Danio rerio: one gene and its partner. The protein of the gene in region 2 binds, or shares a complex with, the protein of the main gene of each other region. Links are inferred from orthologs where the notes say so. Each region holds a gene or a part of one and is shown on either strand. Other genes may lie near its edges.

Region 1 (10,661 bases), about 4.1 Mb from region 2:
CATTAGCTCTAGTTTTGGCTTTGGTACTGACTAATTTAATGTGTGTAGTCATTTATTCTGGCCACAGTTCATATAATACATACTTGTGATATTTATTTTTTTTTTATATTTCCCAAGCAATTTTTAACAAAGAAAAGTTGTACCCTATCCCCTTTTATGTTTTCTACTAAAGAAAGTCTTCCTTGTTTTATTTTGGCTGGATTAAAACAGTTTTTTTTAATTATTATTGGTTCCCTTCAGATATTAATTTATTCGATTGGCTAGTGTTTGAGCCATGTCTATCAACAGAACCGTGCAGATATATGAGCAATGTGCTGACTTATCAGTTCATTGATATGGCTTTCAAACAATCCTACAACCAATTGCATTTGACACTGCCCTGAATGCCATTCAATGTCAAATGCTCAAATATCAGAATGTTGAAAAATCATATCACTATTATTGAAATGTTCTATCGCGATTTATAAATTGATATTTACTGTTCAATGAATGTGTATCTATTTTTGGATGTATTGTTTAGCACTTGTATGCCCAGCTTTGCATAGGTGTATGCTTTATTGAGAAAGATGTCCTTGTGAGCATGTTAACTCTACACTACAAATCGCTGTGAAGATTATTAAAATAACTGTTATGGTTTTCTAATGTTACAACAATGAGTCAGTGTAGAGCTTTATTTCACAATTCATTAATGTGGAAAGTCCTGTAGCCGATTGGCTAGCATTTTGACAATTTGCCCTAAATGTTCTGCAAATGCTGCATTAAATGATATTAACTGATATTTTTCAGGTCTGCGAGCTTCGCACAGAGACAGCAGAGGGTCTGGCCAAGCTGATGTATTGTGGAAGAATCTTAAGCCCAAAGCTGTTGTCCCGCCTGGTGTTACTGTGGTACAATCCTGTAACTGAGGATGACCAAAGACTGCGCCATTGTCTGGGAGTTTTCTTACAACTGTATGCTCGAGCAAGCAGGTATGCATCTGGTCAGGTACTTTTGAACAGAAATATGATGGCAAATTCAAATGCCAAAATGAATTGAGTGCACTGGTAATGTTTACTTGCTAGGTCAAGTGAACTGCGAGAAGATAACAGACCTACACACGCGGAAACTGGCGGCCGTTCGTGTATTATATAAAAATGGACTTTTATTTAACATTCATTTAATCTATCTAAAAAATGTTATTTTGTAAGTGACGTTTAAAGTAGTGGTTCTAGATTTCATCAGTGTGTGTGTGTGTGTGTCCCACAAAAGATGAAATCTTAGAACCACCCCTGTAAACAGATTAAAATCAAAAATTGTTTACGTATTGTATTTTATATACTTTAAGTCTCATTGATTCAATGACTTTCTTCATAAAGACTTCATGTTTCAATAATTTTTAAAGAATATTATAGTGACAGACATTTAGATGGGTGTTTGTCGACACCTATTGGCACAAAAATGTAATTCCTACATCTTCATTTGAATAGCTACTCAGTATGTATGGCAATATACATTACATTTCCCTTCAGAGGCACAAAAATACCAATTCTCTAAGTACACCTCATGGCCACATCTTATAGGACACATATATAGTGGAGTAGCAGAATAATGGCAATATATTTATGTATTTTGTGCATTTAATGCATGTATAGCTTATTTTGAATAACAATATTTATTGAAAATATATAGAAAATTAATCAGAATTTTTTTTTTGATAAATTTGATCACATTTAGGTTGAGCACAGTTTAGGCGTAGCTGCTAAACTTAATCAAAACAAAAAAGTGATAGCTGGTGACATTATGATATTAGTATACAACACCTATTATTAGCTGTTTGTTTTCAACACAGACAATCAACGAAATACAACTGTCAAAGGCAGCGCATCTGTAAAAAGTAAATCTATTTGGACTATAGCTTGGCATTACTCACTGTCCCTTTAGTCAAAAATAATACATTTTGTGTGAGCAGAGAGATGGGGATCTCACCAGTGCGCTCGATTCTTTTTGCCATCATACAGAAATCCTGAAAGTAGTTTAAAGTTCAGCCACAAATAAAATTCTGCTATTTACTTTTCTTCAGGTTCCAAACCCACAGTAATTTTTATTTGAGTAAAGTATAGGTTTTGTTAATAATGAGACCTGAAACCCCATTTCCACTTGGTAATAACATGCATTTTCAGTCATCCAATTACAAGTCGTCATCCCAGATGCATTTTTTTAAAATCTAGTATTATTATGCATTCAAGTGAGGCACGACCACTTCTGTTTAGATTTCTGAGACTTTTATTGTTTTCGTGAGCAAAAAGGCAAGCAAATGCAATATATTATTACATTCTTGTGTTTTGGTACATAAGTGAAGTATAGATATTTTGTTTTGATGTGCTTTCTCCAAATATGTCCCATAACCATCACATGTTAGGTCAGTTGGCATAAAGTATGTTGTCTGTACAAATGCACATTATCAAGTAAAATTGTGTGTGACAATTTTTTTTTATACTTAATGTGAGCGCACTAAAGGAGACTTGGTTTGGCGATTCTGGATCCTACTGGAAAAATACAAATTCTTAATTTTTTTTTTCTTTCGTTTGCTCCAGCATGGCATTGACCACACTTAAACTGACAGACAACAATTAAAGTAGTATGCAGATAGTTTATTGCGGATGAGACAAGATTTTGTAAAACAAACGCAACTACATCATATTATTCATGTGAAACTATCAAACGCTATCAAAACTGCCATTTCGTCAAGTTTAGTAGTTTGCTAACCATTAACAAAGTGATAACATTCATGAAGTCTAAAATTCATAATCATTTATATAAAATATTTGAATTTCACTCGTACACAAATTTTTGTTAATGAACAATACAGCAACATTTTACTGCTTCTATATGTGTTATGGGGTTTGGTCTAGGAAAATGTTTCAATTGATTTCTTTTTGCTTTAACATCAATGTAAATGTATAGAGCATCTAAAAAAACGTAATATTTGAGTAAACTAACCCAATAATGTTACTGGCATTTAAATGAAATGCATTGTTGTAAGTGCACAGCAAGATATTTACAGTTTCTCCTGAAATTGTTGTACACTAGAGCAAATCAAGAGTGTGTGGAGGAGAGTTTCCTACCAACCATGAGAACACTGTTCAATGCTCCTGTGACCTCTCCGTTGTCTGAGGTAGACGCGTCCAATGTGGCTGAATTGTTTGTTGAACTAACACGACCCAGTGCTCTCGTGCAACCTGCGGTCGTACAGGTACAGTGAAACTTGCATGTACACTTACAAAAGTTTCAGTAGTGCCTCTGTTTGAAGCACTTGAATCTGTTAATATATCATCTAAGTGATCAAACATCTCTTTTGCAGGCTGTGTCAGTTCATGATTCGCTGGCGTTGCGTGTTTGTAATGAGATCTTGAGAGATGTTTCTGCTCCTGAAGTGCGCCTCTACTGCAAAACTCTCAGCTGGCTGGAGATTAACACTGAACCTGGACCTGCCAACAATGAACTGCAGCTCCTGTTAAAAGACATATTACAGGTACTGCCATGTCTTTTGTAAAAGTGCATAAAAGAAAAGATTGTCAGATTAAGGCAGAAACACTTGACAATGAAATGGGCTGTCAAATTTGATTGGCATTAAAGGGCACCTATTTTAACCCTTTTACAAGATGTAAGATGAGCCTTTGGTTTCTCCAGAATGTGTCTGTCAAGTTTCTCCTCAAAATACCCATCAGATCATTTATTATAGCATTCACAATACCCCCATTTTGGTGTCCGAGTACAGTGTAGTCTTTTTAAGGTGCATTTACACTAGGCTATCCGAACTCTGCCCGGGTGCATTTCCAGAGTTGTTTGACGTGTAAGTGCTCTGAATCAGGCCCAGGCGAGATTCAGTTGGCAGTTTCTGGTGTTTAAATAAACACTTATTGTCATAGTTTATTAAAGATACAAACCCCCCACTGCATGTCAGCTGCCACCTTCAGCAGACTTCCTAATACCTGCAGCACAAAGACATTTATGAACATTTATTAGCATCAAAAGTGGTGGATCTGTTCGGCAGATTATTTGACTGTGTGCCTCTGCATATCAAACGACTTAAAATAATGAAAAAACGCTATAACTAAAGCAATCTACTGTGAGCAACAGCACTTTACTTCCCGTTAAACTGAACAGTCGCATCATCGATGACGTATGTGTGCTTCGGCTCGCAAGGTAAAGATGCAGTATGGGTGCAGGCCTAGGGGGACAAGTGTGCTTCAACACGGTTGACGGGGGGTTTCTATAGGCAATAGGAACAATAAGAGGTTAAGGAGAGAAAAATAAAAACTATTTATTGCAATACTCATTTTGTTTTACTTAAAAGCCAAGAAAAGTACACTAGTTCCCAGTGTATTGTATAAAAACAATTTACACTGAAATCTCACAGCTGCTGGTAGCCCATGTACAAACTGGGGAACACATAAAATCCTACACTTTGAAAATAAACATTCATGTGAAGATAAATTGGCCATTTCAGATAAACATATTTGTACTTAAGTAAACATAAATAAACCATCTTAATTATCTCGGTGCTGAAAAAATGTGAGACTGTAGTCTGTAATGTGGATCTAGTGCTTTTATAAAATGACAAAAGCCCACCTCTCCAATCACAAAAAACGGCTGCAAATCTTTAGCAATAAACACCCTTTGTTATTTTTATGTGTCTCTCTGAACCAGTTGGGTATGTTTGCTTGAAAGATTCAGTAAGGTATTGTTTTTATTTGGAGGACTTTATTACCTTCTCTGCTATCCTGCCTTCAGACAGTGATATTGCTGGGTAATGGCGCTGCAGATGTGTAGTCATGGTTATACGTGTAAAACAATGCTTGCACAGTTATGTAGTGTTCACCGTTTTTCTTTTATTGGCATTTTACTTACCGGCAAAACCGAAATGTCCTCACACCGCAAATTTGAAAGAGGTCGGCGCTTTCTCATACTGTTGCCTCACTTCGCCAGCGTTTCCTTGTACTGTTGCTTCAGCCTCACTTCATCGCCGCTCGCAATGTTAAAGTGTGGAATGATGGTCAAGCGCCCCCTAACTTTAGAGCATAGTGATTTGATATTCCTCATCTTAGCTAATGGATTTAGAGGCGCACACAGTCAATTCAGGGAGATATGGAACGCACAAATTATTTAAATGCAAAACCGGAAAAACTGCAATTCACAAGCGCATATTGAACTGTGGAGGTCGTACCGTACAGTTTAATATTATATTGAGAACCGTGGCATCCCTACTGTGGTGATTATAGCAGTTAAGAGTTACATAGCGATTTTATTGTCTTTATTACAAACATGATCTGTTGTAAACTTTAGAAGCTTTAAAAACTTTAAAAAAAACAAATCAGAGTTGGAACAGATAATTTAATACCAGTGTCCTTGCAAAAAGAAAACACAATAAGTCACACAATGTCATTACGAAGTACACACACACACGCACGCACGCACGCGCGTATAGTTTTGCACCGCTTTTGCATGTCCGGGATTGAAGCGTCTTCTTTTATAATTGTACTGATGTGGCTGTGGTGCTGAAGTAAATCGCTGTAATTAATTAAACATGCACTGTTTTAAAACATTTTAAACTGGTAAAACTCACTCTTGATCACATTTGATGATCCTAGCAAACTGAACAGATCCTTTTTTCCTGGTTGCTTTGCACACGTCCTGTTTTGTTGATATGATTATATGGGTTACTACAGAGACATGTTAATACGCAGCTGTCAATCAATTTGGTTGGCGTAGAAACCGCACTCCTACATCAAGTTGCAGTTGGTCTGTAAACCGCTCCAATTGGTCCACCATTTTTGTTGTTAAATTGAAAAAACTGACTGGTTGTGTTTAAATCGCCCCAATATGATGGTATATACACTATATCTACACACGTCTGTCCAAACAGCTTGAACAGTAAATTTTTTTCAACATAGGTGCCCTTTAAAGCAAGTGATTGATTGTGTAGTGACTACCACATCTTTGTCTTGTGTTACAGGAAGTGAAAGATAAGTACTGCACAAGGGTTATTGAAAAGCTTTGCAACCAGCTAATCGGAGATCATGGTTCCAAATCAGCCAGTAACCAGGACACAGCTTTGCTTAACTTGGATGAAAACAATGGAGGTACTAGCAAGCATAATGTAGTTTTGCATCCAATTTTTGATGAGATTATTACGATTCAAATTAAGACTGGTTTAGAATTGCTTTAACTAGACTGAACATTCTTGCAGAGTTGATGAACAAGGATGAGACGAAACCTAAACGAGCAAAAAGAGGTCATTGGCTTTTTCTTTTTGTCTTATGTTTGTGTTGGGTTGACAGGTAAATGTTTGATAGCTTGTATTCAGCTTCCACTCTTTTTTTTGTCTTTTTACAGGCCAGAAAAAAGCTGCCACTGCAAAGAATGGAAAAAAATCTTATAAAGCAGACATGTCTTCTGATGAAAGGTTGGACTGCGCTACAATTTGACTTTTTTCTCAAGCTGAGATGCTAACTTTTTTGCAGGTGGTTTATTTTAATTGCGCTATTGCTAAAATATCTTTCTTTCTTTATATATATATATATAGTGATGAAGAGAATATTCCTGAAGAGGCTCCATCAGTGCGACCAAGCCGACGTGCAAAAATTGCTGCTCTGGATAAAACCAAGCAGGATCTGACTGCCCTCATAAACCAGGAGGCCAATGGTTCATAAGAGTGGATTATTTGAGAGGGGCGTCTTTCAACCAATGATGTCCTCAGTTTTACCTGAGAAACTACTGGTGGATTTGAATACTAGCGTTCTCTCTCTTTAGTTTAAATACTGGTAAATATTGATGTATTCTAAGATTGTTGGTTAAAATGTGCCATCTGCAGTCCTTTTCATGTGTGTAGGAGGCATGCCAATTCATTTGCTTGTTTGAACCTGTAAACAAATGCACAAGGAAGTGGACTGAACTCACCCCCTTTTATAATTGGCTATTTTAAGAATGTTGGTCTGATTATGTGAATGTTCATACCTTTATATAATTAATATGTGAGAGCTGATAAAGAAGCTAACTCCTGTTTCAATTGAACTTTTGTATGCTTTTAACTGAAATAAAACAAAATCTGTTCACAAGAGCTTTTATTGTTTTAATGATTGAGACAGCATCTTTGAAGGCAAGTATAAAAAACACAGAGAAAACACAATACATGTACATAAGTTATACGATTATGTACAACTTGTAGCACCAGGTAACAAATATACAGTGGCCAAAAAAAACAATATACAGAAGACCTAACAGGTCTTATAACAAGCTTCAACTCCAGCTGTCGGTTGGCATAGGTGTACAGGCAAAATGTACCTTTCCCTTTTTTTTTTTTTTTTTAGCCTTGTCTGTTTGACACTGTAGTACTTCGAATGGTTGTGACCCTAAAAGCACTAGTTGGGATTGCTGAGGTTTGTGCAGACATTCATGTTGGCACTGCCACTGGTTATGTAAAGGGTAACTGAAAAGCATTTAGCAGCCTGGCCTACCAGTTAGAGAGTTGGACTTGTGTTCCTAAAGGTCAGTGGTTCAGTTCCTGGCAAAGGTTTTAGGTGAGGGGGTAATGAATAACCGGCACTCTTTTCCTCCCACGATTGAAGTTGAGTCCCCACTAAACCCGCAGCTGCTCCAGGTGTAAGACACTCCACAGTGTTAGAGTGAGTGAATGTCTAAACATGCTAAATTGTTTAATTTCTGCCGTTTTAGAACAAACACTAGCTGACATTCCCCAGACACAAAGGTTTAAATCCAGTAGAACATATTAGATAATGTCAAAGACCAGTTTCTCAAAGCTTAGATTATCAATCTGACTACATTTTAAATGCACAGATGCAAGCCAGTCTTGTTAAAAGGAACCTAAATTAATTTTGGTGACCAACAGAAGCTAAAGTAGCAGTAGGACTAACAACAAATGTTAAATAAATAACTAAACATGGCCTAAATCAAGGACAAGGTCACAACAATACATAATCATTTCAGGCTGAACTACCATGACTTACCAGTACAGTTTAGGAGGTAGGTGTCATACTGCAAGATCACAATTTAAGATTTTCACAAGGTATGCTTTTCTTCCCCAAGAAACGATATGTGGAGCACATTTGCTTCAGGATAATCTTAAAAGCTTTTAATTTAAGAGAAAGTAAAATAGACTTTTACATCTTTCTAAAAGTAAAACATTGCACTAAAATACACTGTACGTTACAACTTTTGTTGTAGTTAGAAATAAAATGAAATGAGAAGCAGGAGGGGTTTGGTAGTGCAATAAGAACAAGGATGTAGATTAATGCTTAAATGATTTCCCACAAAACAGTCAAACAATCTAAATTCCAGTCAAATATTTCTGTAAAGTAATGATAATAATAAAGTGACTGAACTTAAAGTAAAAACACTACACTCACTTTCAAATTTAAAAGTTCTATTTGAATGGCCAGTTTTTGTCTTAGTGGCAACATTTATAGCACATAAGACTCCTATCAAACATTGGCAAATCTAAAAATAAGATCATTTGTATCCTTTAAAAATGTAAATGTGAAAAAAGTTGTCTTCAGAAAGTTTTAAAATCACAGGCTGACACCCAGACAACATACTGCTCATGTAACCTTTCATACTCCTTCATGCAAACAGATCTTCTGGTCTGCACCAAAAATAAAGCCAAGTAAAAAAATGAAACGTTTTACAAATAAAATATTTAAATAGTGCAACAAGTGTCAAATGAATTTTTACGTTGTTTTTGCTACACGACGCTTGCTGAGGTTGTGTGTCGTAATGCTTTTGATACTCAGCCAGACCACTGTTGAAAGGCACCTTGTGTTAAGAGTTCAAGAAAATGTCTTGCCCGAAACTGGTCCCAAGTTACTTTAATGATCCTGTAAAACACAAAACAGAGACACTTATATTTGATTGCAGCCTACAATATTTACAACACATCACAAACAAAGTTTAACAACACAAAGTTAAATCTATACAAAAGATAAAATAATCGTAACTGATATTATGAATCAAACATTCTTTATAGCAAGTGTCACCAATCTCATTCCTGGAGGTCCGGTGCCCGGCAGGGTTTAGCTCCAACTTGTCTCATCACACCTGCCTGGGTAATTCAAATGCACCTAGTAAGACCTTGATTAGCTTGTTCTGGTGTTTTTGATTAGGGATGGAGCTAAAATCTGCAGAACACCGGATCTCCAGGAAAACGTTTGGTGATCCCGGCTTTATAGAGACCAGAAACATACTTTAAGCCCATTTGCAGACGAGTTATTAAAACACATTCCGGTTGAACACACTTGAGTTATGTTACACTTTCTAGCAGACCTCAGAAGTTTAGGGGTAGTTGACCAAAAACAAATAAAAAAAGTTTGCTGTACTATTTAAAATAGTAAAAACAAAACAGCAAAAATAAATAAATGAAGCCATGCACACCAAGCGATTTATAATAAGACATCGAAGAGAAGTCAAACCAGGGGTTTTCAAACTGTGGGGCGCACCAGCATCTATTAAGGGGGCGTGCACTTGAGTAAATTATGACAGTTTTTGTGTGCTCACTAGAGTAATTCCGATTAACCTTAGCTCCACATATAACTATCAGGCACATATAAAGTTCATGCGTTCCAGTAAAATATATGCAAATAAAATGGAGCGGGTGCTTTTTAAAATGAATGACGGTGAATGAAAGTCAAACCGGTGAGCGTCTAACAAAAAAGTGCACTTCTGCATCAAATCAGCAGAATGCCCTTCTGGATCTTTCACTATCTTTGAAGACACACTGACTATGTTTACATAGATATCAGTAATGTAGTTATTTGCCTTAATAGACAATAATATAATTAAGGTGTTTACTTGAAGTGCTTTTATGTAAGAGTTTCCTGTAATTTTGGGGGACTTTAACTACAGTTGGGCACACTGCACAAAAAGATTTTCTTACTTAGATTTTTTTTTGTCTTGTTTCTAGTCCAAATATCTAAATGGTCTCAAATCAAGAAGCATTTTCTAGACAAGCAAAACATATTGTCTTGTTTTAAGAAATAATATGCCAAAATGAAGTGAGTTTTTTCTTAAGCAAAATAATCTGCCAATGGGGTAAGCAAAATAATCTTATCACAAATCGAACGACAAGATTATTTTGCTTGGGGGTGTCCTAAAAGTTTGAAAACCCCTGGTCTAAACATAGAGGGCTTGGCTTAACCAAATGTAATTTTGGGTTATCAGTGGAAAATCTAAGGATCCAGAGAGGATCAAATAAATAAATGAGTTTATCTAACTGACAGGGCATCAACAAACTGCCGCAAGAAAACCGTTCCAGATATGATTTTCTTCATTATTTGTAGTGCTGATGAGCTTTTATTTTGATGATAAGTGTATATATGTATATATATATATATATATATATATATATATATATATATATATATATATATATATATATATATATATATATATAAGGGTGTAACAATACGCGTATTTGTATTGAAGCGTTTGGTACGAGACTTTCGGTTCGGTAAGCATTGCAAACCGAACGATTCAGACTAAAATAAAAAAAGACAAAAAAGAGAATAAATACAAAAAAGCCCGCAATGCTTGCCCCGCCTTCAAGCTCTTCTTATTGGCCCACTGCGATAGAACAGAACGCAAATGGATTGATTAATATCAGCTGTCAA
Region 2 (10,217 bases):
TAAACTTAGATTTTGTCTAAATATATCCAGGCTTCTAGTGAAATTCATTGCTTGTGATTTTACTGGAATTTGAAATCTGTTCTGTTTTTTTGAACGGCGGAGCGGAAACGCGCCTGGCGCCAAATTTCAAGTTTAGATGGTTGAACTGAAAGCAACGCCGGGGCTTTTGGAGGTTGTTTTCATCAAGCGTTGTTAGTGGATTTTACTCATATCATTTCGATAAAATGTACATAAAGTCGATTGTACTAGAGGGCTTCAAGTCCTACGCCGAAAGGACAGAGATTAACGGATTTGATCCGTTTTTTAACGCCATCACTGGACTGAACGGCAGCGGAAAGTCAAATATACTCGACTCCATCTGCTTTTTACTGGGGATTTCGAACCTTTCCCAGGTGAGGGTTTAAACATGCTTATTTATTATCAGAACTTAGCAATGTGTATAAATCCGTTTTTAAGGTGTGATTGCGTTATTTTGATTGTTGTTTAGCTTAACATTGTTTATTTTTGTTTGCAGAAAAACGAAATACAATCATTTTCATTGTTATATGTGACCCTGTAAGTTACCACAAAACTAGAGATACGTGCATTTTTTTGTATCTTAAACCTAAAGAAACAATCTTTCCACTGATGTATAACGTTACTTTTTTACGATAGGGCCACATTTAGCCGATATGCATACAACTGGAAGTTATTTGAAAATCTGAAATCTAAAATAAATAAAAAAATGCTAAGAAAAACGCCTTTGAAGTTTTCCATATTAGGTTTGCAAAGGGCATTATTAATCAGAAATTGAGTTTTTACCGTAGGAAAATTACCAAATGTCTTCACTAAACATGGTCTTTACTTAATATAACATTACCAGTAATTTTGGCATACAAGAATAATCAATAATTTTCACCTATACAATGTATTTTTGGCTACGGCCAAAATATAGCCTTCTTGTGATATAAGACTAATTTTGTGCTCCAGGGTCACATATGTTGTTAATAAATTGTATGATGACAACAAAAGGCAAACAAAATATAAGTGAATATTATATATTTATAACTTAAACTTAAACAAAAGATGTGCTCAATAAAATAGAAATACATATAACGACTTTTAAAGCTAAAGCTGCTTGTTTTGTAGGTTCGTGCCACAAATCTCCAAGATCTGGTTTACAAAAATGGCCTGGCTGGGATCACCAAGGCAACAGTGTCCATCACTTTTGACAACTCCAATAAGAAACAGAGTCCACTTGGGTTTGAGACGCATGATGAGATTACCATCACACGACAGGTAGATGACCTAAAATCAGTGCCATTTTCACTATAAGATAGCAGCTCACCTTTAAGAATGAGAATGTGAAGATGTTATTTGTGTTGTGCAGGTGGTCATAGGTGGTCGCAACAAGTACCTCATCAACGGCGTAAATGCGAACAACCTGCGTGTCCAGGATTTGTTTTGTTCAGTTGGCTTGAATGTCAACAACCCTCACTTTCTCATCATGCAGGTAATCATCATAAGAGAAGTTATATGGCCTCATAATATTCTACAATTATTATTGTTATAATTATTATTATCACATTTATGAAATAATGCTTTAAAAACTTTTTTACAATTTTTTTCCCCTGCAAAATTCAGATTTTATTTGATATAAGTTTGTTTTATATAGGTGAAAATAATATAGTGAATTTTAAGTTCTCAATGTTTTTATAAATCTTTTTGGGCCTGTGGTCCCAGGAATAATATATATATGTGTTTAATTTATTTATTTTTTTTTTAGATTCTGTTTTTGTGTGTTTAATATTTCTTTACACTGGTTTAATAGTTAATTATTAATCGTATGTAACTTAAAAAGCATTTTGAATTAAAATCTTGCAAGTGATTTACAACAGTTTATTAAGAGTTTAACAAAGCCTACATATTTAAAAAAAAAAAACAACACATAGATTAGGTTTAGCTATTTCTCAAATTGTGCAAAACTTATTGACAGGGAGGTTTAGAACATTCAATATGAAGTCTTTGTGTTTTCATATTCACAGAAACTAGTTCACATCATTGTTTGATTTGGTGTAAATTACCTCTTAATATTTTCATCCAAAATTTGCTAAATATTGCAATGCTGCATAATATAGCAAATTCCATTTGAATGGCTATTGAATCCTTAATATTGTACCCTTATTTTGGATTTGCATATCTCAAAACAGAGCAATTTCATTATTTTTACCTGTTTATTCCAGGGGAGAATCACCAAGGTTTTAAACATGAAGCCTCCTGAGGTAAGAGATCATTTAAATAAAAAGGAATAGTCAGTTTGATTAAACAAACAAAAAAAAAAAAAACGATACCAAGATGTTAATTTCCTATTTTTTCCATTTTTAGATTTTGGCCATGATTGAGGAAGCAGCAGGTACAAGGATGTACGAATGTAAGAAGATCAGTGCTCAGAAAACTATTGAGAAGAAAGATGCCAAGCTCAAAGAAATTCAGACTGTACGTACATTTAAATATTAATGTTCAACAACAATTTAATCTTTTGAAAATGTAATCCTAATATGTTTCTGTGGGTGTGGGACAGATCCTAGATGAGGAGATCACCCCTGCTATGGAGAAACTAAAGGAGGTAGGCATTTAATTTTTTTTAATTTTTCTTTTAGGTGTAGTTCATTGTAAAATAATGGTATTAGCATGGTGTTAGCACATTTACTTTTTACTGTCAAACCCCCCTCAAAAAACGTATGAATGAATAACAGATTAATAATAAATAACATATCTATAATTTAAAGTATTTGTGTAGATTAGATTAAAACCATATATTATTTATTTATACCTTTGGTATATTAATAATAAAGTAGCTAAATAATAAATAATGTAATCTAAAGGCTATACATTACTGTGTGCCTTTATGTGCTGCTTTGAAAAGCGTTTTCTAACAGCATCAGTTCCTTACTGCAGACAGAGTACATAGGACTCAATATATACTCATCCTTATGCCTTGTCCTACACTCAAAAAAATGATTAACTGGATTTACACATTTTTTTTAAGGTAGTTGGTTGCAAACCATTTATATGGGCTGAATTTAAACAAATTAAATTTAGTAATGTTTAACTTAATTGGTTTGTTTAAAATCAGACCGTATATAAAAGTTTTGCAACCAGTTACCTTAAAAAATGTAGTAAAGTGTATTGCTCTCATTTGCTTCTTCTCAGGAACGTGCATCCTATCTGGAGTACCAGAAGCTCATGCGAGAGATTGAACACCTGAGTCGGCTGTACGTGGCGTACCTGTTTGTGTGTGCCGAGGAAACCAAGCTGAAGTCTAATGAAGAACTGCAAGAGATGCAGAGCTCCATCGCAAAGCTGCAGGAGAACATGAAACAGAATGAGGCCAAAGTGAAGGAGCTCAGTGCAGAGATACAGGAGCTGGAGCGCAGGAGAGACAAGGTGAGTGGAGAACAAACAGCCAGATCTAAAAACAAGGGCAGGAATTAATAGTGCATTCATTGGGAATATTCATTAAGGGGGCAATTCCTGTCTAACAAAGTCCATCAGAGTAGTGGGGGGCAGGCCCAAGGAGAACAAGGGCTCACTTATGGATTACTTATTATAAAAACTGAGCAGATTGCTCCGTTTTTGGCTAAATAAATAAAAAATGTAAATTATAATAATTCCTTACTTGTATATAGCACTTTTCTGGACACTTAAAGCATTTTACACATTGAGGGAATCTCCTCATCCACCACCAGTGTGCACCACTGATGATGCCACCTGGATGTTGTTTCAGTGATTCATTTAAATTGCTATCAGATTTTATTTGCTAAGCTAATTTCCGCCTCTTATAATCTACTGAGACTTTTAATTATTATTAATTATTCGATTTAAAAAAATGCAAATATTTTTTTTTTCCAAAGTTCAAATGCAAATATTTTTTTTCTGTAAAATATTCTATTTACATATTGTGTAATGATATTTACATCACAATATATTTTACCATCACAAATATGCAAACATAGTGCATGTAAGAGAAAAGGAGTACAGAGAAACAGAGAACAGTATCAGATCAGTAAGAATACAAATTGTCCTTGTGTTTATACATAGTTTTAAGATAATTTATAAAAGAACACCACTTTTGTTGCTGTTGTTTTTTTTTTCTTTCAAATTTCTAATAAGTTTTTTTCAAAACATGTCTTTCTTAAGAACAGATATGCTACCTACTATTAAAAAAAAGGTTTAGTTAAATATTTCAATCCGCACCAGTGCATTAAACTCATTTATACTGTTACACAGAAAAATTCTGTGTAAAATACAGTTGAAGTCAGAATTATAATTTTTTTCTTTTTAAAATATTTTCTAAATAATGTTTAACAGAGCAATGAAATTTAGATTTTTTTATATTGTTTGATTTCGGCTAGAATAAAAGGAGTTTTTATTTTTTTAGAAACCATTTTAAGGTCAAAATTAATAGCCCTGTTGAGCTATATATTTTTTCGATACACAATCGTTATACAATAACTTGCCTTATTACCCAAACCTGCCTAATTACCATAGTTAAGCCTTTAAATGTCACTTTAAGCTGTATAAAAGTGTCTTGAAAAATATCTAGTCAAATATTATTTGCTGTCATTATGGCAAAGAAAAAATAAATCTGTTATTAGTAATGAGTTATCAAAACTTTTATGTTTGGAAATGTTTGGAAAAAAATCTTCTCCATTAAACAGAAATTGGGGGAAAATATAGACAGGGAGGCTAATAATTTAGGGGGTTTAACAATTCTGACTTCAACTGTAAATGTTGTGCTTTTCAACTTTCTCTTTATAAACAGTATATCACAGTTTTTACTTAAAAATGGCATAACTGTTGTCAGCTTTGATAATATTAAGCCAATCAATTGAGCATTTTATAATGATTTCCGAAGATCACATGACATTGAACTCAACTCATGAATTCAGCTTTGCTATAACAAGAATAAACATCTTTTTAAAACCTGTATTTCACAGTGCTGCTTTTATGGTATTATTTTTTTAGATACGCAACCTTAAAAGACCTTACAAACTGCTAAATCAAAGTGTATTCACAATTCATCTTATAGTACTGAATTGAAACAAGTGGTGAACAAATGTCAAATTCCTCCATCAGAGATGAGACCTTTTATCAATGTTTACATTTTAAACAAGTGGCAAGAAGACGGGATGCATTAGAAAATAATACATTACATGAAATCCAACCTGAAATCTCACAGATTGTTAAGAGATTTTAAGACTAGATTTGATCAGGTGATTTTTACCAGACACAATACAAGAATAACCCATGTTTTTTGCTCCAATGTGAAATCCCTACTCGGTGTTTGTGCTGCACGACTCCCCTTAAAACACATTTTTCTGGACTGTCCTGCTTTTACTGATTCCAGAAGACTTTTAAATGAATTGAACTCTCATAAGGACATTTTTAGCAAAGTGACAACAAAAAAGATTTTAATATTTTTATTATGTAATAACACTAAAAAACTTATTTAATTGATGTGTTCCTTATTGATTTTTAATTGTATATTTATTGAAATGTTCCTCCCATGAAAATAGCCTTGGTCACTGACATGGCATTAAATAAAAAATGCAATACATTATAGTTCTGAATATAAGTGTATTCACAACTGTACCATTCAAACATGTAAACAATATATGACTACACTTACTATTTTAATCATAAGTTATCTGAAATGCAGTGATTTAAAAAATGTGATAATGTTTCCTTTAATCTAGCAATATGTATTGTATAATTAACTCAGATTATATAAAACGTTTATTAATTAGAAATAGTAATTGTTATCATGGTTATTTTTTTGCATGTATAATTTTTTCATCTTGAAATTTTGTGTTGTAAGTTATTGCGGCTGCATCTGTTGTGTAGCTTTAGTTGTGTCAACTGTCAAAATGTTCTATGCAGAGAGGAAAACTGTCTTTAATTTATTCAAAATGATTTGTGGTTCTGATTAAACTCATCCAAGGTCCAAATCTGGACCGCAGTCTGCGGTGGGGTGACCTCGAATTTAAATAGTTTGGGTTTCTTTTACTTGAACAGGTTTGGTAATCGAGTACTTTTGTGGAGACTGGAGGTCTGTAATATGGGATGGGATGGTGGGTAATGGACTGGCAAAAGTATTAAAATCATTGTACGGGAAAAGATTTGTGAATTTTTAATGATGCAAATTGATACCTGTTAGAAAAGTGTGCGGTTGATTGATTGAATATTTCTGTCTCCTGTTGTACTCCATTAGCTCGTCTCATTTCTGTGTCTGTCTCTCTTTCTCTCCAGGAGGTTGGGGGGGTATTGAGGACGCTGGAAGAGACCTTGTCTGAAGCACAGAGAGTGGACACCAAGGCCCAAAGTGCCCTGGATCTGAAGAAGCAAAACCTGAAAGATGAGACCAAGAAGAGGAAAGAGCTGGTCAAAAACATGGAGGAGGTATGAGATGATGCTGTCCTTTATTCAAATTAGGCTTTTGTATTTGCTTTTTGGTTTTCCACTCTTTGACTTAAAGGTAGTTCACCCAAAAATGGAAATTTACTCAAGTGGTTCCAAATATTTGAGTTTTATTTAATCTGTTGAACCCAAAAGAGATATATTGAAGATGCATACAATTCTTGTTTGTCGTCTCGCGCATTGTGTCTGTTTGTGTCTGTAGATTTCAGTTGCAATATATATTTTTACTACTTCACTCTCTTAGACATAAATCTCCTTCATCTCCTAATAGCACTTACACCAAATGTTTTATTCATATCTGTATTCTGTGGGTTGTTCTATAGGTTTGTACATTTTATTCTACTTTATTTTTCTGGCAGTTTATGGTACTTGTTGAATTATGCAGTGAGTAAAAATAGATGCTCAAAGCACCCTCTTTAAAAGCCTTTGATTTGTAATATGTCAAAAGAAAATGACACCAAATTTTTAACTTGATGTTGAACAAGAAATGTATGCAAATTAGAACTTATAATGAAATAATAACTTAATAATTACCAAATATTTACAATTTTTAATGTATTAAGTCAACTAGGGAACTCTTAATTTATATTTACCCTATTTATCTAATGTCTTGCCTTTTGAGTGTTGGATGTTTAAAATACTTTAATTGATATTTAAAAATGTAAAGAAATTTAAGCCCCTTATATAAAGTATTAAGTCTTAAATGCTATTTTGCAAGGTATTACATTTTATATCATTTTTGTTTATGCAATGTATAGTTGTATGCTATAGTTTGCCTGAATTAAATCAGCGAATATCAGGATGCTGTGTAGTTTATGAAATCAATAAAATCTTGTTAGATTTAACATTATGGTGCTTTGTTTACTGCAGTAATCAAGCCAGCAACATTATTTCTGCAGTTCTATATTCGCCAACCTGCTGAATTAGTTAGATTTAATAGATTTTTATTCAGTATATCAATAATGGTTTAGTTTTGGATTAATTTCTTACATTAATATTTAGTAAATATGCTGCAAGTTAAAATCTTACCAGTGTTTACGATTGAAAAGTGGTATTAAGGTCTTAAAGTGTGCAAAGAGTCTTAAAAAGGTCTTAAAAGGTATTGAATTTCACTCTTTGATTCCTGTATATACTATGAAATGGATTCAACATGGAAATTAAAATTTAATAAATATATTTTTAAAAACTATTTTAATAAATTGTTTAAAATTGGTGTGTTGATTTAAGGAAGTGTCAATTTAAACGTGTACTTTGTTTGCACTAGGATAAGAAGGTGATGTCCGCTAAGGAGGCCGAGGTCGCTAAAGCAGTAGAGCGTCTGAAGGCAGTGAAGGAAGAGGGCCAGAAGGACGCAGAAGCGCTGGAAGCAGCACAGCAGCATTTCAAGGCAGTGTCAGCTGGTCTCTCTGCCAATGAGGATGGAGCTGAAGCCACACTTAGTGGCCAGATGATGACCTGCAAGAATGACATCAGTAAAGCTGAGACGGAGGCCAAACAGGTGACCTTTAGAGACCGTCAACACTGGCTGCATTCCACTGCACTTTTACTAACACATTCACTAACTTCCCTTCCCTTGTTCCCTATGGGCATCCCTCACTGCCATTTTAAAGTGCGTTTCACTTCATCAAGTGAATGAGGGTAGATTACATGGACATACTCTTAAATTCATTCGTCCACCCCAGCACCTATATGTCCCAGAATGCAATGCAGCTGCAACTGCTCAAGGATTTGGGGTGTTTCATTTAAACTCATTTAGATGTTTCACCAGTAGTGGGCACTTCTGTCAAGTAATCAATGACATATATTCGAGGAAACAAGACAGTGAATTTAGCGGGTAAAAAGGCATAAAAAACTGGAGTAAAATGCAGCCAGTGTTCACATTGATCAAATATTTTTGTCCACAGTATATACCTCAATAACTGTTCACTGAGCATACTATTACTATTGTAATATAAGTATTGTTTACTGTCTGTGTTACTAAAATCAATAATGTCTCTAGACTACCCTCAACTTTATGAATATTGTGAGTCTACTGTTTAACCGTTTGGGCAATGATGAGGTTTTATTTATTTATTTTGACAAGTTTTTTTTTTTTTTTTGCAATTTAAAATAATTGTCTAAACTGTACATTTTATTTTAAGAGAGCATCCTTTTATTTTTGTTATGGCAGAGCTGAATTTTGCTAAATTCAAGAAAGCATCTTTTAATATTCAGATTTGATGCTCAAAAAATATTTATTTTGAGTGGTATTTACTAAAAGTAAACCCATTAGGACGAAGTTAAGTATTTTTATTTTTTTTTGCCAGACATTGTTTTACAATAAAAGTTAAAAAGACATAAAGTAAAAAAATCATTTAACTTTTGTTTCTTTATTATATTAGCATTTTCGTAATTGTTTTGCCTTAAAAATTGCCTGAGATGCTCACATGGCTTTAAATAAAAAAATACAATATAATAAAACGTTTAGTGTTAAATGGTGTTTAAATGGTTACAACAATTTACCTCAATTTGATGAATAGAAAGCTCAAAAGAACAGGATCTATTGGAAACATTGCATTGATTTATTTTTTTGTAATAGTAATACATAGGGATAGGTGATTAATCGAAAAGTAATTGAAATCGACATTCAGAACCAATAACCAATCTTATTTTTCCAGGTCAAATTGTTTTTAATTACTCGCCTTACTGCATGTGGAGTCATATGACCCTGCTCTGTTTGTTATTATTGGGTTTCTTTTGCTACATTAATGATTGACGAAGCTGCGCCAGAGATTCATTGTTGAGACGCCATACTTTCCATTACATTAAAATAATTTTTTTAATTAAAACATTTGTTAATAGAAGATGCAAGAAATACACTGTTTTAAATATTATTTACAGGATATGCAAGAGTTACTTTATTTAGAAGGTTTAATTTTCTACTTTTAATATGAAAACATTCAAAATATTTTATTTTGTTTCCAAAAATGCAAGTTATTTATTTTCACTTTTTTTTATATAAGACAAAGATGACTGTTTTAGGCAATGTGTGCTATAATTTCAGTCATTCAGCATTGACGTTCAATAAATAATCATAGATAGTAAATAGTGTTTTTTCTTCAATTATTTTAAAATCAAGTAATGCACCCTTCATTCAGAAATCTCACTTGTAATATGTGAGCATATTTACTGTTAAAAACCTGTCAGTGATCTCTGAGATAATAATAATATAATTGTTCATTAATCGTAATCGAGTTAAAATGTTCAATTAATTGATATTTAATTTTTAGGCTAAATCACCCAGCCCTAGTAATACGCAGTTACGTTTCTTTAATGTGTTTTCTGTCAGCATAACAGTGTCTTATGCTGTATGTGTTTTGCATTAAAGAATGATGTTAAACTGTTTAAATGTTCTGTCTCTTAGGCTCAGATGAAGCTGAAACACGCTCAGCAGGAGCTGAAGACTAAGCAGGCTCAGGTTAAGAAGATGGACAGTGGCTACAAAAAAGATCAGGACACATTTGAGGCTGTGAACAAATGCATAGAAAAGCTACAGGCTGAAATGAAGAAACTCAACTATGAAGGTACATATTGAATGTGATTATACTAGGCATAGGTCAGTATACGTTTCTGAAGATGTGATAACCTTGAATAGCAGTAATTACAATACTGTGATATTTCTCTGAAATATGTTCTCTTTAAATGTCTAGTATACATGTCAGGCTAAATAATTAAAATAAATCATTGACTTCTGCTCTCTTCATTAGTTTCAAAAACAG

Evidence for each region. The genes of interacting proteins can lie anywhere in the genome.
Region 1: smc2 (region 2) and ncapg share a complex: the UniProt entries of both Homo sapiens proteins name them as parts of the condensin complex. The link is inferred for Danio rerio from reciprocal best matches to the Homo sapiens genes SMC2 and NCAPG.

Annotation. Positions count from the first base shown.
Region 1 is NC_133176.1:25,130,668-25,141,328, forward strand, and holds the end of ncapg (condensin complex subunit 3), read left to right. Parts: intron 1-786; coding exon 787-968; intron 969-3,069; coding exon 3,070-3,232; intron 3,233-3,340; coding exon 3,341-3,511; intron 3,512-5,995; coding exon 5,996-6,122; intron 6,123-6,229; coding exon 6,230-6,274; intron 6,275-6,375; coding exon 6,376-6,445; intron 6,446-6,565; coding exon 6,566-6,692; 3' UTR 6,693-7,097; downstream 7,098-10,661. Other genes in the region: lcorl (ligand-dependent nuclear receptor corepressor-like protein), read right to left, coding at 8,860-8,873. UniProt on the Homo sapiens protein: Regulatory subunit of the condensin complex, a complex required for conversion of interphase chromatin into mitotic-like condense chromosomes.
Region 2 is NC_133176.1:21,041,316-21,051,532, forward strand, and holds the start of smc2 (structural maintenance of chromosomes protein 2), read left to right. Parts: upstream 1-129; 5' UTR 130-224; coding exon 225-392; intron 393-1,128; coding exon 1,129-1,278; intron 1,279-1,369; coding exon 1,370-1,492; intron 1,493-2,222; coding exon 2,223-2,261; intron 2,262-2,364; coding exon 2,365-2,475; intron 2,476-2,560; coding exon 2,561-2,605; intron 2,606-3,192; coding exon 3,193-3,426; intron 3,427-6,291; coding exon 6,292-6,441; intron 6,442-7,723; coding exon 7,724-7,957; intron 7,958-9,862; coding exon 9,863-10,022; intron 10,023-10,217. UniProt on the Homo sapiens protein: Central component of the condensin complex, a complex required for conversion of interphase chromatin into mitotic-like condense chromosomes.